7 linked regions of the Ovis aries genome follow. The protein of the gene in region 1 purifies or fractionates together with the protein of each later gene. This does not show direct contact. Links are inferred from orthologs where the notes say so. Each region holds a gene or a part of one and is shown in the gene's direction. Other genes may lie near its edges.

Evidence for each region.
Region 2: the proteins of SF3B1 (region 1) and U2SURP purify together in Homo sapiens (affinity purification with mass spectrometry; 4 studies listed by BioGRID and IntAct, with this or other methods). This does not show direct contact. The link is inferred for Ovis aries from reciprocal best matches to the Homo sapiens genes SF3B1 and U2SURP.
Region 3: the proteins of SF3B1 (region 1) and SART1 purify together in Homo sapiens (co-immunoprecipitation; 4 studies listed by BioGRID and IntAct, with this or other methods). This does not show direct contact. The link is inferred for Ovis aries from reciprocal best matches to the Homo sapiens genes SF3B1 and SART1.
Region 4: the proteins of SF3B1 (region 1) and PRPF8 purify together in Homo sapiens (affinity purification with mass spectrometry; 5 studies listed by BioGRID and IntAct, with this or other methods). This does not show direct contact. The link is inferred for Ovis aries from reciprocal best matches to the Homo sapiens genes SF3B1 and PRPF8.
Region 5: the proteins of SF3B1 (region 1) and MAGOH purify together in Homo sapiens (co-immunoprecipitation; 3 studies listed by BioGRID and IntAct, with this or other methods). This does not show direct contact. The link is inferred for Ovis aries from reciprocal best matches to the Homo sapiens genes SF3B1 and MAGOH.
Region 6: the proteins of SF3B1 (region 1) and PRPF4 purify together in Homo sapiens (co-immunoprecipitation; 3 studies listed by BioGRID and IntAct, with this or other methods). This does not show direct contact. The link is inferred for Ovis aries from reciprocal best matches to the Homo sapiens genes SF3B1 and PRPF4.
Region 7: the proteins of SF3B1 (region 1) and DNAJC8 purify together in Homo sapiens (co-immunoprecipitation; 4 studies listed by BioGRID and IntAct, with this or other methods). This does not show direct contact. The link is inferred for Ovis aries from reciprocal best matches to the Homo sapiens genes SF3B1 and DNAJC8.

Annotation. Positions count from the first base shown.
Region 1 is NC_056055.1:199,700,664-199,703,289, reverse strand, and holds the end of SF3B1 (splicing factor 3B subunit 1), read left to right. Parts: intron 1-1,137; coding exon 1,138-1,354; intron 1,355-1,642; coding exon 1,643-1,801; 3' UTR 1,802-2,126; downstream 2,127-2,626. UniProt on the Homo sapiens protein: Component of the 17S U2 SnRNP complex of the spliceosome, a large ribonucleoprotein complex that removes introns from transcribed pre-mRNAs.
Region 2 is NC_056054.1:246,575,021-246,578,520, reverse strand, and holds part of U2SURP (U2 snRNP-associated SURP motif-containing protein), read left to right. Parts: intron 1-1,381; coding exon 1,382-1,500; intron 1,501-2,737; coding exon 2,738-2,914; intron 2,915-3,500.
Region 3 is NC_056074.1:40,495,641-40,499,605, forward strand, and holds the start of SART1 (U4/U6.U5 tri-snRNP-associated protein 1), read left to right. Parts: upstream 1-1,165; 5' UTR 1,166-1,219; coding exon 1,220-1,532; intron 1,533-3,556; coding exon 3,557-3,614; intron 3,615-3,965. Other genes in the region: TSGA10IP (testis-specific protein 10-interacting protein), read left to right, coding at 195-327. UniProt on the Homo sapiens protein: Plays a role in mRNA splicing as a component of the U4/U6-U5 tri-snRNP, one of the building blocks of the spliceosome. May also bind to DNA.
Region 4 is NC_056064.1:22,672,302-22,675,801, reverse strand, and holds part of PRPF8 (pre-mRNA-processing-splicing factor 8), read left to right. Parts: intron 1-1,779; coding exon 1,780-1,944; intron 1,945-2,030; coding exon 2,031-2,249; intron 2,250-2,383; coding exon 2,384-2,596; intron 2,597-2,808; coding exon 2,809-2,934; intron 2,935-3,027; coding exon 3,028-3,133; intron 3,134-3,500. UniProt on the Homo sapiens protein: Plays a role in pre-mRNA splicing as core component of precatalytic, catalytic and postcatalytic spliceosomal complexes, both of the predominant U2-type spliceosome and the minor U12-type spliceosome.
Region 5 is NC_056054.1:27,767,754-27,770,928, reverse strand, and holds the end of MAGOH (protein mago nashi homolog), read left to right. Parts: intron 1-1,255; coding exon 1,256-1,338; intron 1,339-2,434; coding exon 2,435-2,534; 3' UTR 2,535-2,675; downstream 2,676-3,175. UniProt on the Homo sapiens protein: Required for pre-mRNA splicing as component of the spliceosome. Plays a redundant role with MAGOHB as core component of the exon junction complex (EJC) and in the nonsense-mediated decay (NMD) pathway.
Region 6 is NC_056055.1:10,447,135-10,451,291, reverse strand, and holds the start of PRPF4 (U4/U6 small nuclear ribonucleoprotein Prp4), read left to right. Parts: upstream 1-1,357; 5' UTR 1,358-1,441; coding exon 1,442-1,474; intron 1,475-2,210; coding exon of another isoform or gene 2,211-2,213; coding exon 2,214-2,391; intron 2,392-4,157. UniProt on the Homo sapiens protein: Plays a role in pre-mRNA splicing as component of the U4/U6-U5 tri-snRNP complex that is involved in spliceosome assembly, and as component of the precatalytic spliceosome (spliceosome B complex).
Region 7 is NC_056055.1:238,878,464-238,882,664, forward strand, and holds the start of DNAJC8 (dnaJ homolog subfamily C member 8), read left to right. Parts: upstream 1-1,401; 5' UTR 1,402-1,432; coding exon 1,433-1,510; intron 1,511-4,201. UniProt on the Homo sapiens protein: Suppresses polyglutamine (polyQ) aggregation of ATXN3 in neuronal cells.

The DNA of each region.
Region 1 (2,626 bases):
GCGCTGAGTCCTAACAACTGGACCATCAGGGAATTTCCAATCAACTTTTGTTTTAAAAATTACAAAGAAAATGATGAGCATGAGCTTATTGATGTAACAGAGAGACCTGATCTTTTTAGCTTTTTGTTATGGCAGGTGAAGCAGAGACACTTTTAACTACTGAACATAGCCTGCCAGAGCCACACTATTGTCACTGCAGGCCCCCAATTATTCAGATGGTGACCCCTGATAAAGTATTGCTGGAGGTGATTGATACAGTCCTAATACCAAGAAACATTACTTTAGTTGGGAAATTTACCAAGGAGGAATACAGATTCATTATAATCTATGCCTAATAGATTATTATAATAAATAAGAGAAATAAAGATGCTAGTAACTAAGTCGGTTCAGGTGCTTTTTTTTTCCTCTTAAGGTTTAAGAGAAAAAAGTATTTTTTTCTCTTAAATACCTTTCAGGTTCTCTTCTTGCCTTCGAGGGTAAAACGTGTGAACTTGTTTTTATACCTATCATAGACGTTTTATCTGATACTTGTACTCAGTTGAATAAATTATGGAATAAATAAGTCAATGATTTGTCATAAAGTCAGTCAAAACATGGGAGGTGATAAAAGTTCTTTTTTCTGGGTTTCAAAAAATTATTAGTCCTTCTCTTCCTTTCCCCAAATTGAACTCTTGAATGAATCTTTTTAAAAAACCACAAGGGAAGGGATTTAATCTCATTTTATTTATTTACTGTATACAGTATTGAATTACTTCCGAAGATTTTAAATTTACAGAGTTTAAAATGAGATATTACTGTTAATTGTTCGTATGTTAAGAGTCATGTATCCTCTCTTATTTTTAGTAGCTTGCAAAAATACACATTGTGCTGGGCCTTCTTGCTCCTGTTACTCTGAAAGAAAAATATAGCTTATTTTTGAGCCATTGTGAGCAGGTTTGAATCATCAAAGCAAAAGTTCTCAAGTATAATCATCAGTCATTCTTAAGGTATCCTATGTCAGATACACGAGGTGTAAGGATGACTCTGCATCCATTCCAAGCACTGAATTTGTGATTTAGTTTCTAACAGGCATGCAAGTATTTTCTGTGAAACTAAGACTGCATCTTAATAAAAAGCTTTTTCCCCTCTCCATTACAGGGACCTTGTACACAGACAGACTGCTAGTGCAGTGGTGCAACACATGTCACTTGGGGTTTATGGATTTGGTTGCGAAGATTCGCTGAATCACTTGTTGAACTATGTATGGCCCAATGTGTTCGAGACATCTCCCCATGTAATTCAGGCAGTTATGGGGGCCCTGGAGGGTCTGAGAGTTGCTATTGGACCATGTAGAATGCTACAGTATTGTTTACAGGTAGGTTAAAGGTTTTTTAAACAGTATTCATTGAAAAAATAATGTAGTTGAATTAAGTCACTGTTCCTAATTATCATTAGGGAAGATATATTTGTGCCATATGGGAAAACAGTTATGAGGGGAGAGAAGATTAGATTTTGTCCTTGCCCACTTCAGTTTTATGAAATTGACATCTTTTTTTTTCCTCTCTCAAAGGGAGATGTTTAGAACCATATCTTTATGGTTTGTTTGTTAGTTGTGTTAAGGTTATGTATTTCTTGAAATAATATAACCTTTTAATTATTCTAGGGTTTGTTTCACCCAGCCCGGAAAGTCAGAGATGTGTATTGGAAAATTTACAACTCCATCTACATCGGTTCACAGGATGCTCTCATAGCACATTACCCAAGAATCTACAATGATGATAAGAACACCTATATTCGTTATGAACTTGACTATATCTTGTAACTTTATTGTTTATTTTGTGTTTAATGCACAGCTGTTTCACACCTTAAACTTGCTTTGATTTGGTGATGTAAACTTTTAAACATTGCAGATCAGCGTAGACCTGGTCTTAGAGGAAGAGCTAGAAATCCAGTAGCATGATTTTTAAATAACCTTTGTTTTTGATGTTAAGCAGTAAACGCCAGTAGTGACCAAGAACACAGTGATTACACACACTATACTGGAGGGCTTTCATTTTTAATTCATGTTTATGAAGATTTAGAATTCATTCCTTGTGTTTAAAGGGAATGTTTAATTGAGAAATAAACGTTTGTGTACAAAATGCTAACTTGTGTGTGTTTTTTGAACATGACTTGTAAAATGCGGAACTTTGATAAAGTACTGGTTTCTGTAGAATAAGTGGCTTAATATCGTTTTCTGTCACCTGGTTTATAGAGAGTAGTTAGTAGAATACAAGCTATATAAAGTGATGGTATCTTTGTCAAAATTCCATTGCTCTGTTGATAAAGACATTAGGAAGAGTAGCTTTGAGGGTGTTAACCTCAAACTAGCACAACCCTTCCATCACCTTAGAAAATATAGCACCTTTGCTGAACTGTCTTTAATATTATTTTGCACTTGCATAGCGCCTTTCATCTCTTGATTTCTCAAAATGCTTATGAATTTGCTTAAGGGAAGTAATTGAAGTCATATCCAACTCGTGACAATTCTGTTTAGAATGTGGGAAAAGTAGCTTAAACTTCTACTTGTAGGGAGTGAGGCTACCTCTAAGTCATGCTAGTTAGAATAAGACAATCTTTTGAGTTCTTTGCCCATGTCATGTCGTAA
Region 2 (3,500 bases), on another chromosome or scaffold:
GTCTCTTCAACATCACTTTGTGAATTTGTATTTGGAGAAAAGATACATGAGGTGAAAAAAAAAGATATATCTGAACCCTGTTGAGTCCCTTTGGGGATGGTGGCAGGTGTTTGATTTGCACGGAAGACTGTACCTCGAGGTGCCCACTGGCCCTGAGGTAGTAACATGTTTATTACCATTTTAGTCTCCTTGCACTCCATGGTTATAATTGGAAGAAAGAACGTGTTTTTTTGAAGACATAGGCCAGGGGTCAGCAGACTATGACCATCACTTCATTTTTGTTAATGAACTTATTAGAACACAGCCATGCCCCTTCAGTTATTATCTATGTATTATCGGTAGTAGCTTTTGGACTACGGTTATAAAGTTGACAGACTATAGCCCACAAAGCAGAAAATATTTACTACCTGGCCCTTTACAGAAAACATTTGCCAGCATCTGGTAAGGGCTTTTTTTATCATATATCGGTTACCTCTCTTGATGCATACAAATCATAGAGAAATTTAATTGTTTTGTTTTTTAATTCTTGTTTTTGAAGAGCTCAGTTGGCTTTGTGGGTTCATTGTCAGTAGCCATGCCCTTAATTATCAATAGCAGTCATAATTTCAAGTGAGAAGTGGCAGTTGTAGCAGTTGGGGATAAGCAAATAAGTAATTTTTCTGATTTATGTAATTATATAGTCATCTAATCAATTTGTACTTTTATATTAGGATTTATAATTTGTACTTTTATAAATTTCCAATATGATTGATACTTGTTTCCCACTATTAATACTAAGACTTTTTGCTAGACATTTATTGTGAATAAGTCTTTCTCCTTTTTAGTATGTTAATAAGTGCTTTCCTTTGATTAAATCAGTTTGCTGTACAATTAGAATCACTATTGACAGTTTTATAGTAGTCTGAGATGGAAAGGTCATCATATTGTTTTTCCAGTTTGTTTATTTTAAGTGAAGGGACACCACTCTTTAAGAGCCCTGACTCTAGAGCTTTGGCTCAGATCCTGACTTCATTCCTCTATGACCTTAGGCATGGCACTGAGCCTTTGTAAGGCTCATTTTTCATGTTTTGAATGAGGATAATACTATTCATAGGCATGTTTCGAAGAATTACATGCAGTGGTATATGGAAAGTTGTTCATTAATTGCTTGGCCTATGGTAGGCATTCAGAAAATACTTAGCCACTGTTGCTGGTCTCATTATTATCATTCAGTATAAGTAGAGAAGTAGAAGAAATGATTGGCTTTCTGGAAGAGTAGGTATGCCTTCAGTAGTAATTTTATAAATAGTTAACTAGAAGGGAAAATATTACTACATAAATGAGATTAACCAGATTGGTGTTTTTTAATGACTAAATATTTCTTTGAAAAAAAAAAAAACAGGAGAAAGAGAAGGAATTAGAAAGAGAGCGAGAAAGAGATAAGAAGGATAAAGAAAAACTGGAATCTCGATCCAAAGACAAGAAGGAGAAAGATGAATGTACTCCAACAAGGAAAGAAAGGTATAACATTTCTCATTTAATGCCTATGCTGACTTTAGGATTTGGAATCATGTTTCATTTTGTAATATTTTCATCACTGGAACCAACAGATTGGAAAGGGTTTTTTTTGTGTATGATAAACATGTTTGGGTTCTACCTGCAGAAGGCAGAATTAGCTGAGCAAAGGGGCATTTGACACTAGGCTTAGTTACCTGGGACATCATCCCTTTACATGGTTCATAAGGTACCTTAGCCTTAGTTCAGGGCAAGAATTCAGTTACAGTATTAGGTATCGAACTGAAGGCTTAAATAACTAAGCAGCTTGCTAGATCTTACCTGTTACCGCCAATATAAGCTTTTCTTCTGTGCTGAGGCTGCTACCTGTAAACTTGAGTCTCCCAGTCCTGTATGTTAAGGGAGATTGTGTACTTAGGCTGTAGGGCTTGGTCCTCACTTTAAGTCTTCATTCTAATCAAAATAATTTCTCTTATAGTTTTTATTCTTACTTTTACATTTCCTAAATCTCTGATTAGTAGAGAAAGTTACTTTAGAATTGAGATTTTCATAATAAAAACCAAGCAAATGCAAATTAAAAAATTTTGGGTTAGTCACTCTTCATATAGTTACAAGATAACATGGTTATACTAATTGGTAAAGTAGTAAATCCATCACTTTTTTGTCATTTATTATTATCTTGATAAAATTTCAGAGTTATAGAAAAGTTTTAAGAATGCTATAAAGAATTCCCAGATAATCTTTCACCTTCGTTCCCCCAGTGTTAAAAGTATTTCTCCTTTTGCTTTATTTTCTTCTTCTTCTTCCTTTCCCCCCTTACCCCCAATCATTTAAGAATAACTTGCTTACATGATGCCCCATTTTCATACTTAACCACAGTAAGTTTCCAGATCGAACAAAAGGAAAAAATTTTCAAGAGCAGGAAATTAACATTTAAAAAAAACACTATCATCTAATCAGAGACCTTGATGGAATTTTGACTACTGTTCCAATAATCTCTCTTAAAGCAGAGAAAAATCCAATTTAGTTGAATTCAGCTTTTTGTGTCAGTCAGCCTATCTTTAAGACTTTTTGGTTCTTAGTGTAAAAGGCTTTGAATGTTGTTGGAAAATAACATTAATAAAGTTAGTGAAAGTAAAGATAGTGTAAACTGATAGGAATTAAAAGCTAATTTAGTAGAAGGAAAATGATATACCTGATCCTTTGCTCACTTATGGGATGTTTTCGGGGCTTTGTTCCATAGGAAAAGGCGACACAGTACGTCCCCTAGCCCATCTCGCAGTAGCAGTGGTAGACGAGTGAAATCCCCATCACCAAAATCGGAGCGATCAGAGCGTTCAGAAAGATCTCATAAAGAGAGCTCACGGTCCAGGTCATCTCACAAAGATTCTCCTAGAGATGTTAGCAAAAAGGCCAAAAGGTAAACGCAAGTCATTTTTTGTAATATTTCGAATGCCAGTTTCCTTGTCATTCCACCAGCTTTTGAAAATAATTTGTTTGGCAGCCATTTTTGAAAGGATTTTAGAAAACCAAACAGATATACTTTCATTTTAGATTCTTCCTTCCCATCTCCCCACCTCAGTCTCCTCATGACTAAAGCACAAGAAAGCTTAAACACGTAAAGACCAGCCAGGAATTTTAAACATCAGTTTTCTGTGAAGTAGGAATAGCTGCTTTTCTTTCCTTTCTGTTCTTTAGTTTCTGTGGAATATTCTTTAGTTTTTGTCAAGGCTGAAAGAAAAATACATGTTCCCTCCCCACCCAGCAGTAATCTTATTAGCAAGTTCTTGGGTAGACTTGTGGACATAAATACCATAGACTATTTCTTCAGCGTTTAATTTAGTGTGTTCTGTACCTTTTTCCTCCAAGTTCCAGAAAGGTGTTCCAGAAGTGTTTTGTTTATCTAGGTGTTTATAGAGTTTTCCTGAGAGCTGAAACTGCTTTTTATCCTAAAACGTTTTTATTGTAGCCATTTTTTAGTAAAATTTTTCTATAACAGATAACTC
Region 3 (3,965 bases), on another chromosome or scaffold:
ACACACTGGCAGCCAGGCTGACCAGCACTTCGCCCCAAATCCAGACCAAGAGTTGAGTCCCTGAGATAAAAATTAAATGCTTTGTGGAAAACACGGTGTGGGATTTCTGGCGGTGGTGGGAAGTGGCTGTGGGTTGGGAGCAGGCCGTGGCAGGTGGGTATGCAGCACGCTTGGCTTGTGCTCACATCCCCCAGGAACCCTGGCTGTTGCGACGGCCCCCGCCCAGCACACACGGCTGTGTCTCTGCCCAGAGGAGCGAGTGGGGCATCTCCCAAGAGCAACAGCTGCAACTCCTACCAATGCTGGGTCCTGGAAATTCAAGAGTGAACAGGACAGAATGCCTTCCGCCTTTGGGAACGCCCAGTCCTGTGGGGGAGGGGGCGGGCCTTTAAAAGGGCGCATAATCACACCCTAACAGATGGGCTGGCAGATCGAGCAACTGGCAAGTGGGGGTGTCAGGAGGAATTGTGTGAACTGAGCTTTTAACTACAAGTTAACAGTCTCCTCAAAGGAAAAGAAAAAGAAAAGCTCACACACACACGGATGTGCCAAATTTTGCATTCGATTTCAGGGGGTTTACAGATACACAGAAGCTCAACTCGACCTCCGGGGCAGTCGCAGAGCTCAGGTTAAAAACCCAATCCAAGGAGCGTGGCAAGGCAGCGTTGGCAGACAATACTAGATGTAGGGGTTGGAAGGAAGCTGGACTGTGGAGCTGGGGGCCTCGGGAGAACATGCTACGTCGTTTAACACCCGATGGAGCCACGACCCCAGGCAGTACACTAGGAGGACGCCACTGGAGAGGTGGACCCTGCCCAGAGACAGTCCGTGAGCCAGTGAACATCCGTAATTGAGGGTGTGAAAGCGGAGGGAAGCCGGGAAGGGGCTTCCAGCTCTGGCGATCCTGGCTTGGATGGTCCCTAGGTCCCATTCTGGGATACTGTCTTCCCCAGACCCAGTGGCGAACCTTGAGGCGCGCATGCGCAGTCGGCCCCCCGGCTCAAAGACCGCTACCCCGGCTAGGCTGGCTGCGACTGCGCAGTCGGGTTCAGATCCCGGCCTTCCCATGAGCCTTTGGGGCAGGCTCCGAGGCAAACGACGGAAGCAGCCGCTCTTGGTTTCCGGCAACAGGACACCGGCTGTCGGGCGACCCGGAAGTGTTCCCATTTTGCGTCGTCGGGGCTCGGCGGCGGCCGGGCTCGGGGTTAGACAGACCACCATGGGGTCGTCAAAGAAGCACCGCGGGGAAAAGGAGGCGGCAGGAACTACAGCAGCGGCCAGCACCGGGGGCGCTACCGAACAGCCGCCTAGGCACCGGGAGCACAAAAAACACAAGCATCGGAGCAGCGGCGGCGGCAGTAGCGGCGGCGAACGACGGAAGCGAAGCCGAGAGCGTGGGAGCGAGCGCGGGAGCGGGCGGCGCGGGGCCGAAAATGAGGCTCGCAGCAGCACGCACGGGCGGGAGCGCAGCCAGACAGAGCCCTCCGAGCGGCGCGTGAAACGGGAGAAGCGGGATGATGGCTACGAGGCCGGTGAGGGGCCTGTGCAGGGGGCGGGGCGACCGGAGGTGCCTCGGGTATGTGGGCTCTGGGTATGGAGGCCGAGCGCACCAGGCCGAGGCATCCTCTGGCTTTTTCGTCAGCACTTTCTAAAGGGTCTTCCTATGGCTATTTGGGACTGAAGGTTGTCTTTCTTTGTTAAACTCTCTGAGGGTAGAGATTTTCTTTGTTTTCCTCACGACCCCTCCCTGAATGTGTTGAATGAATGAAGCGATGGTAGCATGTGCAGAGGCAAGAACAAACATGTTGTCAAAGTTGTGTAGAGTTCATAGGAGAGACAGCAGTCTGTAAGAGAGACACGGATCTGAACACTAAGGGCCATATAGGCCCTGTTAAGAAAGTGAAACTTGTTTTGAGAGGAAGCCATGAATTTGAACTGACGAGTGAGTTGATCACATTCATATTTTGCAAAGATCTGGGAGAAGGGCAGTAGAGACTGGAGGTGAGATGAAGGCTGATGGTGGCCTGCACCGAGGCATTAGCCATGGGATGGAGAGACGTGGACAGATTGGAGAGGTGTTTTGGAGGAGGAGGTGATGGAGCTTAGCATTTGGATGAGGGCTGGAAAGAGAAGAAGGAATTGAGGGTGTGCCTTGAATTTTGACTTGAGCAACTAGTTGAGTGGTAGTGATCTCTGCTGATGTTATCCTGGTGGTTCAGTGGTAAAGAATCTGCCTGCAGTGCAGAAGACAAAAGAGACAAGGGTTCTATCCCTGGGTTGAGACGATCCCCTGGAGGAGGGCATGGCATCCCACTCCAGTATTCTTGCCTGGAGAATCCCATAGACAGAGGAGCCTGGAGAGCTATAGTCCACAGGGTGGCAAAGATTTGGACACAACTGAAGTGACCGAAGCACACATGCACAGTGCTGTCGACTAATTTCAGGAGTTTGGAAGAGAAACAGATTTTTGGAGGGAGACAACCGAATTCCGTTTTGGAGAGTGTTGAATTTTATGTGCATGGAGAAACTCAGGGCTTGGGCTGGATAGAGCAGTTTGGGAATCATGAGTGTTTAGGTGGCATATGAAGTCCACTGAGAGACTAGGAGTAGGAAGCCTACTGGTAGGAGAACCTGATAAATGCTAGTGTCTTAGTATTACGCTGAGCAGGAGGCTACGAAAAAAGGAGGTAGGCTGTCCCCCAAAGCAGGAAAACCATAGAATCTCGTGTCAGGGGATCTGTGGGAGTGATCATCTGTGTCACACACTGCTGGAGACCAGATGAAAACCAGAGCTGAAAAGAATCCTTGGGGTTTTGAAATAAGGAGGCTGGTGATCTTGGAGAGAGCCTGGAGTGGTTGGGATTCAGAGTTCAAGTGGGATAAGGTACAGAGGTAGGTTGTGAGGCGAACATGCTGGAACGATGAGCTGTGGTGGCGCCTGGTAGGGGCAGCTCCGTCTGAGTCCGAATCTGACTTCTGCATGTGGTGTTCAGTGAAGTCACTTGCTGTTTGTGAGGTGAGTAGAGGATGTCCTAAATGCTCCTGTATCTCAGTGATCTCAGCAACATTACAGAAGAGGCTCCAATAAGTATATTTCTTCACTGCATGAATTACACAGAGGGCATAGTTATGCTGCCAAGATGGTCCCTACCCTGTGAGGAGAAGCAGGTCCAGAAATGACTGTGGCAGTGTTGTGCAGAGGAGAGCAGGTCATGCTGATCAGTAATGGAGCAGGACTCCAGGGAGGAAGTGGGGTCTGATAGGATTTTGTTAACAGCCTGAGGCCAGAGAAGGCAGTGTAGGTTGAAAGCACAGGATACGCAAAAGTGGAGAGGTGGCGAAGTGAAGGATGTAGAAAGCTGGACCCTTTGGATCAGGAAAGGAAGGTGTGGGGAGAAGCAGCGTTCTCAGAGCCTGGGACTCGGATGGAAGGAGCTCCTGGTTGGGGGGAAGCAGGCCGAGGTGCTGACCTCGTCTTCGGCCCTGCACCTGGAGCCAGGGCTGCGGCTCCTGGGCCCAGTGCTCTGCCCCTGAGCCTTGCTGCTTCTTGTTCCAGCTGCCAGCTCCAAAACTAGCTCAGGCGATGCCTCGTCACTCAGCATTGAGGAGACCAAGTAAGTCCTGTCTCCTTTTCATTTCTGTGTTTTCTTGTGGGACAAGCAGCTTCTGGGGTAGCTGTCTGGGGAGGCTTTCGCGTAGTACATGTTCTGATTGAAGTTGGAAGTGTCATGTAAATCATCCTAGCCAACCAGCTGAGTTCCCGAAGTGGACTCTGAGGCCCAGGAGAGCATGGCCTTGCCCTGGCTAGGGGGCAGGCCAGGCCTTCCGGCTGATTGGGAGGCCGGTGCTCTTCCCACTGCTGGGTCAGGCCCTAGGTTTGAGACCCTTCGGACCACTCAGTCCCTTCCTGTTTTCTCCCCCTCTTTGTCCAGAAATGCATTTGGTGCCCCCATTTCTTGGACAGC
Region 4 (3,500 bases), on another chromosome or scaffold:
TTACTCCTTGAAAGGAAAGTTATGACCAACCTAGATAGCATATTCAAAAACAGAGACATTACTTTGCCAGCAAAGGTCTGTCTAGTCAAGGCTATGGTTTTTCCAGTAGTCATGTATGGATGTGAGAGTTGGACCATAAAGAAAGCTGAGTGCCGAAGAATTGATGCTTTTGAACTGTGGTGTTGGAGAAGACTCTTGAGAGTCCCCTGGACTGCGAGGAGATCAAACCAGTCCATTCTAAAGGAGATCAGCCCTGGGTGTTCTTTTGGAAGGAATGATGCTAAAGCTGAAGCTCCAGTACTTTGGCCACCTCATGCAAAGAGTTGACTCATTGGAAAAGACTCTGATGCTGGGAGGGATTGAGGGCAGGAGGAGAAGGGGACGACAGAGGATGAGATGGCTGGATGGCATCACCGACTCAATGGACGTGAGTCTGAGTGAACTCCGGGAGATGGTGATGGACGGGGAGGCCTGGCGTGCTGCAGTTCATGGGGTCGCAGAGTCGGCCACGACTGAGCGACTGGACTGGACTGAGTGTGCGTGTGCTGCGTCTTCTTTATCCTCTCATCTGTTGATCTGTGTTCAGGTTGTTTTCACGTTCTGGCTGTTGGACGTAGTACTGCAGTGAACATTGGGTTTCGTGTTTGTTTTCAGATTATGGTTTTCTATATATATGCCCAGGAGTAGGATTGCTGGCTCGTATGGTAGCTCTGTTTTTTAGTTTTTTTAAGGAACCTCCATATTGTTCTTCTTAGTGACTGTAACAATTTATGTTACTACCAACAATGTAAGATGTTCTCAGTTATGTTCTTTGTTGTTCTGTTTCTTTTCCCTGATCTGGGACTGGAGTTTTTAATTTGTCCTGTTGCCACTATGATAAGACATCTTTATCTTTGAGTGAATTAAAGCATACATTCTTGTTGCCTGTAATTCCTAAGTGACAAGAATCTTCAGGTTTGAGGGTAGTTACTTTCTGAGGTCTTTGTGTCCTTTTGTTTTCCCAAGGTGGGTGAGTACAGGTATAAATACCTTAGCAGATCCTTTTTCATTTTTACACAGAAGTGTTAGCCATTTCATGAACTAGTCCAAGACAGCAACGGAAGTTGTGTTTATTTCAAAAGTATTTGAGAACTGTGCTAGGTGCCAGGGATATAGCAACAGTCAGGAAGCAACAGTTTTTCTGGAGCTTATGGCCTACTGACATAACAGACAAATGATTAAAATAAAGTGTAGTGAATATTTTATTATTTAGGCTCAGACGGTAAAGCATCTGCCTACAGTGCGGGAGACTTGGGTTCGGTCCCTGGGTCAGGAAGATCCTCTGGAGAAGGAAATGGCAACCCACTCCAGTACTTTTGCCTGGAAAATCCCATGGACGGAGGAGCGTAGTAGGCTACAGTCCATGGGGTTGCAAAGAGTCGGACACAACTGAGCGACTTCACTTCATAGAGAGATAGGATGTGAGATAGCCTAAAAGCTGTTTTTAGGGAGATAGCTGATGATTTAGAGGGACTGAAACCCAGTATTGTGGGACAGTGATGTTTAAGAAAAAAAAGTGGCACTGTTGGAGGTGGGGAGGCAGAGTTCCTGGTCACAGAGGGCCTGTGTACTATATTTAGGAGTCTAGACTGTAAGGCCGGATACTGTGGAGGGCCTGTGTACTGTACTTAGGAGTTTAGACTGTAAGGCCGGATACTGTGGTACCTTGTTACTTCTCTGCATGGCTCAGGTAGCAGAACACCTTGTCGTTTCTAATCATCTCTCTTCCTGTTGTTACAGTGCCCTCAAGTACATGCCACATGCAGTCCTCAAGCTCCTGGAGAACATGCCTATGCCTTGGGAGCAGATCCGGGATGTGCCTGTGCTGTACCACATCACCGGAGCCATTTCCTTTGTCAATGAGATCCCCTGGGTCATTGAACCTGTCTACATCTCCCAGTGGGGGTGAGAAGGGCTGGAATGTGGGGTGTGGTGGTGGCAGTTGAGGGGACACCGTGCAGAAACTGTTGCGTGACATTGTCGACTTCCAGGTCAATGTGGATTATGATGCGTCGGGAAAAAAGAGACAGGAGGCATTTCAAGAGGATGCGTTTCCCCCCTTTTGATGATGAGGAGCCACCTTTGGACTATGCTGACAATATCCTAGATGTTGAGCCACTGGAAGCCATTCAGCTAGAGCTGGACCCTGAGGAGGATGCCCCTGTATTGGACTGGTTCTATGACCATCAGCCATTAAGGGATAGCCGGAAGTGAGTGATAGTTGGAGTTACCACTCCTGTGAGGGTTTGGAACTCCAGAGCGGTCCTGGGAGACCAGTAGGTAGCATGACCTGGCTAGCTGGTACACCTACTTGAACTTATATGGGCCTCTCTTTTTTCCCTAGGTATGTAAATGGTTCCACTTACCAGCGCTGGCAGTTCACATTGCCTATGATGTCCACTCTCTACCGCCTGGCCAATCAGCTCTTGACAGACTTGGTTGATGACAATTACTTCTATCTGTTTGATCTGAAGGCCTTTTTTACATCCAAGGCACTTAATATGGCCATTCCTGGAGGCCCCAAATTTGAGCCTCTTGTTCGAGACATCAACCTACAGTAAGTTAGAGAGAGTAGAGTGTTTTTAAATTAAAAAAGTAAATTTTAAATGTATTTTTTAATTGAAGGAGAATTGCTTTACAGAATTGTGTTGGTTTCTGCCCAACATCAACATGAAGCAGCCATTGTAAAATCTAATCTTGATCCTTTAGATCCCACTGTAGTTTCCAGACTGCCCAACTCAGCTGCTCACCCTTGATTCTGTGCCCTAGGGATGAAGACTGGAATGAATTCAACGACATTAACAAGATCATCATCCGGCAGCCTATCCGCACCGAGTACAAGATTGCGTTTCCTTACCTGTATAACAACCTGCCGCACCATGTCCACCTCACCTGGTGAGAGAGCTGGAGCCCAGCTGGGTGAAAGGGGTGGCTGCATTTCGGTTGGGCCAGCGGGGAGCACCTTGGCTGACTCTTGTTTCATTTCAGGTACCACACTCCTAATGTTGTGTTCATCAAAACTGAGGATCCTGATTTGCCAGCTTTCTACTTTGATCCTTTGATCAACCCAATTTCCCATAGACACTCTGTCAAGGTGAGAGGAAGGGACATTCTCAGCTCTTCAAGAGAAATTTCCTGACTGGGCAGAAGCATGACTAGATAAAAGTCCAGCTAGAGGGAGACATGATTTCCATCCTTAAGTGGTCCCCTCAAGCTGTAAGAGGGGAACTGTAATGTGAGAGTTTGGCACTTGGCTCAAACCAAGTTATTGATGTTATCTTGGTTTCTATGATTACTCATCTGGGCTTTATTGTTTCTCCTCTGGGACTCTAATCTTATTCTGGTCTGTTTCCAGAAAAATTTTTTATTTTAAAAAATATTTTATTATTTATTTGGCTGCACCAGGCCTTAGTTGTGGCATGCGGGATCTAGTTCTCTGATCAGGGATCACACCTGTGTCC
Region 5 (3,175 bases), on another chromosome or scaffold:
TGATGATGAATATTCTCAAGCATCTAAAAATAATGAACTTGATCTACATATAAAAACTTTGTTGAAAATAAACAAAAACCAAAATAAATTAACAAACCAACTGGAACCACATAGATACAAAAAACAGAGTTGTGGTTATTAGAGGGAAGGGGCTGAGTGTACAAAATTTGTAAAGGGAATCAACTGTATGGTGACAGAAACTTAAATTTTTGGTGGTTAGCCCAGTATAATACAGAAGTAGAAATAGAATATTGTACTTATGTAACAAACCAATTTTAACTCAATATGGAGATTCCCTGGTGATCAGTGGTTAGAACTTGGCGTTTTCACTACCGAGATCCCACAAGCCATGCCCTGTGGCTAAAAACAAAAAACTGCAATGTAATCTAAAACCATGAGTGGAAATACATTCCAACTTCTGGGCAGGCAGGAGAATAGAGTGGGAGGTGGGTCTAAACTATAATATTTGTCTTGAAAAACTGACACAAGTACAAAATATTAACATTTCAAGTCTGAATGTTAAGAAGTAGAACTCAGGGGACTTCCCCTGTGGTCCAGTGGCTAACACTCCATGCTCCCAATTCAGGGGGCCCCGGGTTCGGTCTCTGCTCAGGGACCTAGATCCCACATGCCTCAACTAAAGATCCTGCATGAAGACCAGCACAGCCAAATAAATTAAATAACTATTTTTTAAAAAGAAGTAGAGCTCAATAGGTTGTAAGTTCCACAAGGGCAGAAATCTTTGGTTTTGCTGATCTGTCCCATAGACCCCCCCCAATTCCCCGCCCAATAGATTTTTTTTTTCTTTTTAAGATTGTGGTACTTCTTTCATTCTTTAGAAATTCAGGCCCAAGGGCATACAACTAGTAAGTGAAAAAGCTGGGATTAACTCAAGGTCTGGAATTCCTTTCCTTGTCCAATGTTGCCCTTAAATGTTAGATTCTTGTATTTGTAAAACAGATTTATACATGTTACTCCACCTTGTTAACAATGAAAACTCCTATATGAAACACAAATGTAAATTCTTCCAAATGTGGAGCCTCACAGACACAACTAAGTATAAGCTATTCAAGCACTAAACCAGTATTTAGGTCATACCATTTATCTGTTTCTAGTACCCAGTACAGTCTAGGGCTCAGGTTGGTCTTGGTAATGTGGCCATCTGTATTAGAGTTCATGTGATTTGGAAGATGATGAACCCTTCTCTTGTGTGATGAAAACCAATTCGGATTGATATTTCTTTCAATGTTTCTAGGAGCTTGAAATTGTCATTGGAGACGAACACATTTCTTTCACAACATCAAAAATTGGTTCCCTTATTGATGTCAATCAATCCAAGTAAGTACACATGATCCTTATAGTCTGTTTTCGAGCATGCTGATATGAAACCCATAATCAAATTGAGACTCTTATGGTAAGATAATAATCTGGTACAAATCTAAGAACTGGCCAGCTTTGTCCCCATCAATAGAGAGACTCCCAGATTATCTTCAAGGGCTTGCTCTGTTTGCTTTTGGTGTTTTAGTCAGTCGTCGTCAGTGAGCGCTTCTCAGTGATGCACCCACAGAGTAATGCCATAGGGGCAGCCAAAGTGGGAGAGTCTGGCCAAAACAAAAAGCAACTGCTGGAAATACCTATGAAATCAGTGAGTCTGGGTACCTTCCTCAGTGTTGGTTATTCAGATTGCACATCTTAAAGCCTGACTTTAGTGAAACTTGAAATCATTTAGAATATAAATTTTAAAATTAGTTTTTGCGAGGGTAAATTATTGAGACATGAATACACTATACACAGAATCATTAGAATTTGGCAGCCTCTTTGTCTCTTGTGTTTTGAGGATTTGGGATTAGATATAGTTCACTTTCAGTACATGTTGGGCATAGTTGTCTTCCTATGAACAGTCTCCTGTTCTTACCCACTTATGCTATAGTAAGGTTGAGTGAGTCTCTTGGTCCTGCTTAGCACTACCTCTTAAAAAGGAAGTTTTCCTAATTCTGAAAGTAATATGTGCTTACTGTAGAAAATATAGGAAATACAGAAATGTAGAAAGGTGAAAATCACCCATAAAATTATCAGTTAGATAACCATTAATATTAAAGTATTTCTGTGTTTTTCCTGTGCTTTAAAAAAGTCTTTTAAAGCACAAAAAATGAATTGAGATCAACAGTCTCTTACTTTAATCATGATTTTTTTCTACTTAATATAAGCATTTCCTTCTTTAAAAACCTTAATGTTTTAAATTACTTCTTAATATTCCATTTTAATGTATATAGAATTTTTCTTCTTTTTGGACATTTGGTTGTTTTCAAAGTTTTAATTCTGTAAATACTTCTTACGAGGAATATCCTGGTACGTAAGTAATCTGGGTTATTAAATGGTAATTTTTGCTGAGTTTTTTCAGCTTTTTTAACATCTTTTTCCTCTTGCATTACAGGGATCCAGAAGGCTTACGAGTATTTTATTATCTTGTCCAGGACCTGAAGTGTTTGGTCTTCAGTCTTATTGGATTACACTTCAAGATTAAGCCAATCTAGATGGAACATTGGTGTGGACACAAGGGGGGTGGGAGTGCTGCTTTTAATTACCATTATCTAGACATTTTTGTGTATATCAGGGCAGTATTTTTTTTATAAACTATAAATGATTGTCTTTAATAAATACATAACAAAAAGCAATTTTTTTTTAAATTTTATAAAGACCTGAACATGTGAACTTGTCTCAAATTACTTTTTAACACTAGGTTCTTATGTGAAGTATTGCCAAAAATCTAATCAACTCTGTACATATAACTACCAGTTTATAGGAAGTAAAAGATTAGAGAAACATGCTAAAAAATAACTGGAAATCCAATCAGTAACCAGAGGAAACTCCAGGATAAGTGATCTGATTTCTTAAAAAAAAAATAAGCTGCAAACATAAATGGAGATGGAGTGGGAATGTTAAAGAAGATTTGAGAGACATATAATCACATAATCAATACAATGTTCGAACCCTGCTTGGATCATGATTCAGGAAATGTAAAGTTGCCATCAGTAGGAAAATTTAAATACTCCATATTTGGTATTAATGAAATGTTAATTTTTTAGGGAGTAAAGTGGTATGGTTGATATTTTGATTTTTTTCATCTAGCTTTACTGAGGTATAATTGAGGTTGGAGGGTTTTTTGGTTTTTTCA
Region 6 (4,157 bases), about 190 Mb from region 1:
CAGATGCTATGATCTTAGTTTTCTGAATGTGGAGTTTTAAGCCAAGTTTTTCACTCTCCTTTTTCACTTTCATCAAGAGGCTCTTTAAGTCTTCTTCACTTTCTGCCATAAGGGTGGTGTCATCTGCATATCTGAGGTGATTGATATTTCTCCCGGCAATCTTGATTCCAACTTGTGCTTCATCCAGCCTGGCATTTTGCATGATGTACTCTGCATCTAATAAGTTAAATAAGCAGAGTGACAATATATTGCCTTTACTATGCCTTTCCTGATTTGGAACCAGTCTGTTGTTCCATGTCCAGTTCTAACTATTGCTTCTTGACTTGCATACAGATTTCTCAGGAGGCAGGTCAGGTGGTCTAGTATTCCCATCTCTTTCAGAATTTTTCACAGTAAATAGGCATTATTATCGGAAAGAGGCCTAGGGGAGAGGAGGGGGCTCTTTCCAGCTCTGGAAACATCAATATTTTGAGCATCTCCACCCCCTACAAGGAGAAGGAAATGGCAATCCACTCCGGTACCCTTGCCTGGAAAATCCCATGGATGGAGAACCCATGGGGTTGCAAAGAGTTGGACACGACTGAGCGACTTCACTTTCACTTTCACGCCCTACAAGGGGGCAAGAATCTTGTCTTGTCCGCCTCTGATGCCCCAGCACCCAGGGCAGCAGAGTCGTGCAAGTTGCTTGCTTGCAGTTTACCTGACGCCTCACATTCATCATCTCTCTCGGAATAAGACAGAAAGACCTGCTGAAGACAGCAAAAGCGGGGCGTGGCTCCTCCGCCTGGTCTTTATTTCACTTCGGCGCTAGAGGGCTCTTTGAACTTATTGTTTCACCACTGCCCAAATTCACCGAAAACCTACCCAGCCCAGAAGAAACTGCCAAGAGAACTTCCTGACAGTGGAGGAGAACAGCACTCCCGCCGCAGCTCCTGGGCTGCACTCAAGGGTCCAGGGCGAGAGTTTCCATGGCAACATAGGCCTTGGCGCCAGGAGGACTTAGAGCCCCTGGCCGGGCCGGGAGCCGATAGTAGGCCCCGGAATCCCTCGATTCGCTCCCTGAGTTCAGTTCGCAGCCGCGCGATTCCCCGCACCTACCTCTTTTCAGGCCTGTTCAGTCCCTTTCCGGAACCTCGGCGCCCACCCCGAATCATCCGCTAAGCCAACTGGACTACACTTCCCACACTGCCTCTGAGTTTCTCTCTTCGCAGAACCTTGGCCTCCGCGTGCTTCTCTCTGAGGCTCTACAGATCACATCTCTCAACTCGCCCAGACTCCCTCCTACTACGATTCCCATAATGCTCCACGCCTCCCAGGATGCTGCGTCGGACCTAGGACCACTTCCGGTTGGTGACGTAGTTCCGCTTTGCTGGGCGCGCGGTGGACGGTCTGAAACGTAGAGCGCGGCTTTCGCTGAGGCTTCGCGTCCCCGGAGCCCAGCATGGCTTCCTCACGACCCTCCTCCACGGTACAGGTCTCATTCTGGCAGGGAGCGCTGAGGGGGTGGGGGGGTCCCTGCGAAACAGGGCCATTAGGGAACGGGCTACGGCGGTGGAGGGCCGAGGAGGAAGGCTTCGGTGTTTTCCTAATTCTTGGGTGCTTCCATCTGTTTTAGCTCGTTTTCACCTCTCACTCCAGCCCCGAAATGTAAATATCTCTTCCGTCTGGTTCAGAAACGGAGCTCTGAAAGGGAGTAGAGTCTTGGCCAAGATTTATGACACTTTCAGAACTCTTAATTGTAACGAGGCCTCCTAACTTATCTACTGCTTCATATCCGAAACGTTTGAAATGTATGAACAGTAGCTTTCTAACTTGGCCCCCGTACCATCGCGTTGGTTATTTCAGTTATCCTTGATACCCCTGTGATGAGCAGTAATTGTGGAAATTTCATAAAAGCCAAGAAGAGATTTCACCTGCTGCAGCCGTATGAAATACACATATTCAAGAGAAAACCTTTGACAGAAAAATCAGCACGAGAAATTGACTAGTTTTATCCATCTCTTCCTATCTACAAAACTTAAGTGATTAAGAGACTGGAACCACTCTTTCCCTCCACCCCCAGATTAAGGAAGACACATTTTAACTGGTGTCTGGTTTGTCCTTTGTGTGGGGAAGAAATAGGTTTGAAGCTCTAAATAAGCTTCATTCTGCTGCGAAACCTATTAGGCTGCTAAGATTAAGCTTTAGGTTAACCTAGGTCTTTGTTTTAGCAGGCAACCAAAACTAAGGCACCAGATGACTTAGTGGCTCCTGTTGTGAAGAAACCACACATCTATTATGGAAGTTTGGAAGAGAAGGAGAGGGAGCGTCTGGCCAAAGGAGAATCTGGGCTTTTGGGAAAAGAAGGACTCAAAGCAGGAATTGAAGCAGGAAACATTAACATAACCTCTGGTAAGATTCAAATTGTGAGTTCATCTTTACCTTTGGTGCTCAAATTTTCTGTAATGATTACCTTCTTCATCTTAAATATCACTAGTTTATGTCAAGAAACTACAACTAATAAGCTTGCACCTATCAAAGTCCATATTCTCCACCTACCTGACTTGGTCTTATCATCCAAAGAACCTTTTTCTTAAAACCTTTTATACAGTTTTCCTTCAGTAAACTGTTAGTAATTTTACTAGGAATTTATTTATTCAGTGTGTATTTGAATTCAGAGTGATTTCCTTTGTCTTCTGGAGATCTAGTGTAGTTCTGGCGTTAGCTTGGAGCTACTGTGTTTCCTAATATTCTCCTCTTTTTAGTTTTTCAACTGTTTTTCACCCAAAATGAAATTATCTCTTCTAAATTTTAAAGTGATAGCCATCTTTATTTTGAAAGCAATTAAACAATAAAGAAACATATGAAGTAGAAAAACCTGTAATCTGTATTAATTGGAGCTATGTCATTTCAAGAACTTAATAAAGCTATAAAAATACACTTTTTTTTCCCATAAATGAAATCACGATAAACCAATTGTTTTGTAAGCTGCGTTTGTCATTGTGATACTGTTAAATGGGCTTTCCTGATGGCTCAGTGGGTAAAGAATTCACCTGCAGTGCAAGACACAGGAGACAAGGTGGCTTTGATCACTGGGTGGGGAAGATCCCCTGGAAGAGGAAATGGCAACCTACTGCAGTATTTCTTGCATGGAAAACCCCATGGACAGAGGGGTCTGGTGGGCTACAGTCTACCAGCTCTCAAAGAGTTGGAAACAAGTAAGCCAGTAAGTATGCACACACTGTTGAGGGTATTTTTTCATGCCAGTAACTAGTAGTCTACTATATTTTAAAAATAAAATCATTCATGTTTGTCATAAGAAATTCAGAAAGTATGGAAGGGTATAAAAAGACTTCTGTGCAGATAGGACTTCTGTTGTTTCTCATCGACCCTCCCACACATTTTCTTTTCTATACGTGTGCACTTTTCATGAGTTTTAAACCTTTTATGTTATTTTAAACATGACTGCATCACCCTTGTACTTCTCACTTCTCATCCAAATGCTTGTTTTTTATGTGAGTTTTAAAACTAGCTACTAGATTATCCAAAAAGCCTTGTAGTTAAGGCTTTATCATTTTCATGGTAATTATTTCCAGTTCACTGTTAGATTTGTTAGTGTTCCTATACTGAGACTATTTCAGAGAGTAGCTTTGGCAACTGTTGAAATAATGTTTCTATTTTGCCATGGATAGAAAGCCTAGATAACTTGTTAAAAGTGCTCCATATTCTCATTGTCTCATGAAGGCTGTGTGTTTATGTAAGTGTAAGTTGCCAAATGAAACAAGATGACTTGAACCAGTTTCTGGCCTTTAAAACCTCATTTAGTTTTCTGTGTTTGGCATACTTTAATAAACTGAGAAACTAAAGTTTCTAACAGATTAGTTAACTGTCCCTAGAGGCATGCAGCGGAGAAGGCAATGGCACCCCTCTCCAGTACTCTTGCCTGGAAAATCCCACGGACGGAGGAGCGTGGTAGGCTGCAGTCCATGGGGTCACTAAGAGTCGGACACAACTGAGCGACTTCACTTTCACTTTTCACTGTCATGCATTGGAGAAGGAAATGGCAATCCACTCCAGTGTTCTTGCCTGGAGAATCCCAGGGATGGGGTAGCCTGGCGGGCTGCCGTCTATGGGGTTGCACAGAGTTGGACACGACTGAAGCAACTTAGCAGCAGCAG
Region 7 (4,201 bases), about 39 Mb from region 1:
GCTTCTGGTTCTCAGTGTTTTTTGATTATCTCCTGGGTGGGCATCCAGTGGAAGGTCTTGATGAGTTTGTGCAAAAGATCCATAGAGGCATTAGGGTGGCTGCAATTAAAAAACATGGAAAACAACAAGCACTGGTGAGGATGTGGATAAATTGTAACCCTCCTACATTGCTAGTGGGATTGTAAAATGGTTCAGCCACTTCGAAAAACAGCTTGGCAGTTGCTCAAAAGGTTAAGTATAGAATTATCATATGACTCGCAATTTCAGGGAGAAGGCAATGGCACCCCACTCCAGTACTCTTGCCTGGAATATCCCATGGGCGGAGGAGCCTGGTGGGCTGCAGTCCATGGGGTCGCTAAGGGGCGGCGGACACGACTGAGCGACTTCACTTTCACGCATTCAAGAAGGAAATGGCAACCCACTCCAGTGTTCTTGCCTGGAGAATCCCAGGGATGGGGCAGCCTGGTGGGCTGCCGTCTATGGGGTTGCACAGAGCCGGACACTACTGAAGCGACTTAGCAGCAGCAGCAGCAGCAGCAGCAGCAATTTCAATTCTAGGTACATACCTCCCCCCAGTAGAAAACTGGTACTCACACCTTCATAGCAGAACCATTTTACAATAGCCAAAAGATAGAAACAACCCAAATGTCCATCAACTGATGTGAATAATGTCATCAATTAGTGAATAAACTAATTGTGGTATACACGTATGATGGAATACTATTCAGCCGTAAAAGTGATGAAGTAATGGTGTGTGCTATATTTTGAAAGAACCAGGGAAACATGCTAAGTGAAAAAAGCCAGACACAAAAGGTCACATGTTGTATGACTGCATTTACATGAAACATCCAGCATAAGTAAGTCCATAGAGACATTGGCAAGTATGGGAAGAAACTGCTTATTAGGTACTAAGTGTCCGTTTGGGGCGATGCAACTGTTTTGAAACTAGACAGGTGGTGATTACACAATACTGGGAATATACTAAAGACCACTGAATTGTTCACTTTAAAATGGTTAACTGTATGGCATCTGTGCATGCGTGCTAAATCACTTCAGTCTCCGACTCTCTGCGACCATATGGGCTGTAGCCTCAGTCGTGTTGTACTCTTCGTAACTGTAGGCCGCCAGGCTCTTCTGTCCATGGGATTCTCCAGGCAAGCATGCTGGAGTGGGTTGCCAGGCCTTCCTCCAGAGGATCTTCTCAACCCAGGGATCGAACCCCTGTCTCATTATGTCTCCTGCTGCTGGTGGATTCTTTACCACTATCGCCACCTGGGGAACCCCAATTTAAAAGTTTATTTAAAGGTACCTGGCTGGGCGGCGACCCCTTTAAGAGACGCAAGGAAAGGGCCGGGGTTAGAGAGGCGGGCCTGTAAGAATCACGTGAGGTGGCGCCTGCGCAGAAGAGTCACGTGGTCGCTGGGCCGGGGAAATGGCGGCTCCAGGAGAGAGCGGGGCTTCGGGTGGAGGAGGCAGCACGGAGGAAGCATTTATGACCTTCTACAGTGAGGTAAACACGGAGTGAGGAATGGCGGCACCGGGGCGACCCCGCCCGGGGCTATCCTCCCAGTGGGAGAAGGCAGTGATCCTCCTGGCCTGGACCGTTGGGCGGCCCCTCCTGTCTGGCCTTTTGGGAGGTGGGGGACTCGGGGTGTGTGTGCGTCTCCTTCTGATACTGCAGGGGGGATCCCCTGGAAAACTAAAAGGGGGCGGGGGTCTGACGTCTGAGGGGAGGCGTCGAGTTTGGCCAACGAAGTGCTTGGGCGCGCGCAGAGTTCCCCAAGTTCGCGTAGTCGGATGCTTTCTGCGGCTGGGAAAGTGGGTCTGCCTAAGGCTGGTTAAACGGGTTACCGGTCCCCGATTGTATTCAAAACGGAAGCACTCTCTCCTCTTAGTCCTCTGTAGTGAGTTTTAGTAGTAGTTATTTCTGACATTCGAGAACGCTAGGCATTGTGCATCATGCCTTGTAGGCACTGTCTCCATTTTACAGATGACATACCTGAGGTTTAGGGAGGTGAAATAATTTGTTCAGGGTCTTAGAGCAGATGATAGTTTGGTATCATGTTAGGACCGAAGTAAGTTTGGTTTGAGCCTCATTTACTGTCGCATCTCCATCGGGTGCTGCGCAGTAGTTACTCAGTGAATATTTGTTGAGTGGATGAATGAATGAGTGGATGAATGAATAAAGAAAAGGATGGCTCTTGGAGTCATAGGACCTCGGGTTGGATTTTTGCATGGCTGTTAACGTGACTGTGACAATTCTTTCAAGCCATTGATTTTGCTAATCAATTTTCACGTTTGTAGAACGAAGTTTTTTATTAAAACGAGTTTTAATGAGCGTTAAAAGAAAGTTTCATAAAATATAAAGAAGAAGCTACTTTGTAAAAGTTAAAAACAAGGCTGGATGTGAACTTCTTTAGCTTGGTGTGGATTTGAGGAATGGAGTTGCTCGCCACCTGGCTGTGATGTATTCAGAGTTAAGCACCGTGTTACATTCACCTTTTATCTCTGGTATTTGTAACAGTGCTTGCTACATAGTTGGGTTTCCCTAGTGGCTCAGACGGGGAAGGCAGTGGCACCCCACTCCAGTACTCTTCCCTGGAAAATCCCATGGGCGGAGGAGCCTGGTGGGCTGCAGTCTATGGGGTCGCTAAGAGTCGGACACGACTGAGTGACTTCACTCTCGCTTTTCACTTTCCTGCATTGGAGAAGGAAATGGCAACCCACTCCAGTGTTCTTGCCTGGAGAATCCCAGGGACGGGGGAGCCTGGTGGGCTGCCGTCTGTGGGGTTGCACAGAGTCGGACACGACTGAAGCGACTTAGCAGCAGTGGCTCAGACTGTAAAGAGTCTTACTGCAGTGCGGGAGACCCGGGTTCCATCCCTGAGTCGGGAAGATCTGGAGAAGGAAGTGGCAACCCACTCCAGTATTCTTGCTCGGAAAATCCCATGGATGGAGGAGCCTGGCAGGCTACACCATGGAGTCCGACAGGACTGAGCGACTTCACTTTTGTTACATAGTAGTTTCTCCGAAATAATACATTTTAAAACAACATAGTACATCCATTTATAGTCTACTTTCAAAATGTCTCATTCACTTTGAAGTGTTAATTTGCTGGTACCAGTGTTTTCTGGTGGCTCAGATGGTAAAGAATCTGCCCAGAATCTGCTGGTTATATGGAAGACCGGGGTTTGAACCCTGGGCGGGGACGGTTCCCTGGAGAAGAGAACGGCTTCTCTCCAATATTCTTGCCTGAAAAATTCCATGGACAGAGGAGCTTGGCGGGCTACAGTGTGTGGGATTGCAAAGAGTCAGACACGACTGAGTGACTAACAATAATGGGTACTGAACAATTATAGGGGAACTTGTTTTAATTTCTTAGTTTTTTTTTTTTAAAGCAGTCCTGGTTTGTTTAAATTTTAATGTCAATTTCATTTGTGAGCTGTATTGCACAGATGACTTTTTTTTTTTTTTTTTTTTTGTGGGACGGAATATTTTCTCCTGGGGGCAATGACTTATGACTGTTTTGCGGTAGTTTGCGCTCGTCTTAGCTACTCGTGGTTATGAACAGAACGGTTTTCATGAAATGAGTTACATGCTCATGGGCTATGGGTTTCATATTAGGTACTGTACAAACATCATGGGTGTCTGATTTTCCCTTTTGTGGCCCCATTGAAATGAGCCATATCTCTTAGGAAACTCCAGCAGTGCTAGAGCTTGCCCTGCAGACACCTTTTTTTTTTAAATCTACATATTCACTGGCATGGTTTGTTTAATGAGAGAAAATGTCTAAAGGAGGATCATTTAATCATCATTCAACTAATGTTTATTGAGCACCTGATATGCACTTCGTCCTGTATTGTTTAGCTCCTTGGAGAAATGGTAGTTGACAGCAGAAAGAAGAATCCCGTCTTCATAGGGCTTTCATCTTACAGAGAAGGCTGAATAATGAACAGATGTATAATATAGTGTTAGGTAGTGCTAAGTGCTATGAGGAAAAATGAGACTGGGAAAAAGAGAGTACGGTCGAAGGTGGGGAGTGGCGTGCTGTTTTACAAGAGTTAAGAGGGAAGGTGCTGAGAAGGAGTAGCTTTTCCTGTTATTGAAATCCTTTCCAACTCTGTTTTGGCCATAGAAATAAAGATAGTATATATACTATGCCAGAGGTTCATTCCAACTAAAATTTCAGTTCTGACAGTGG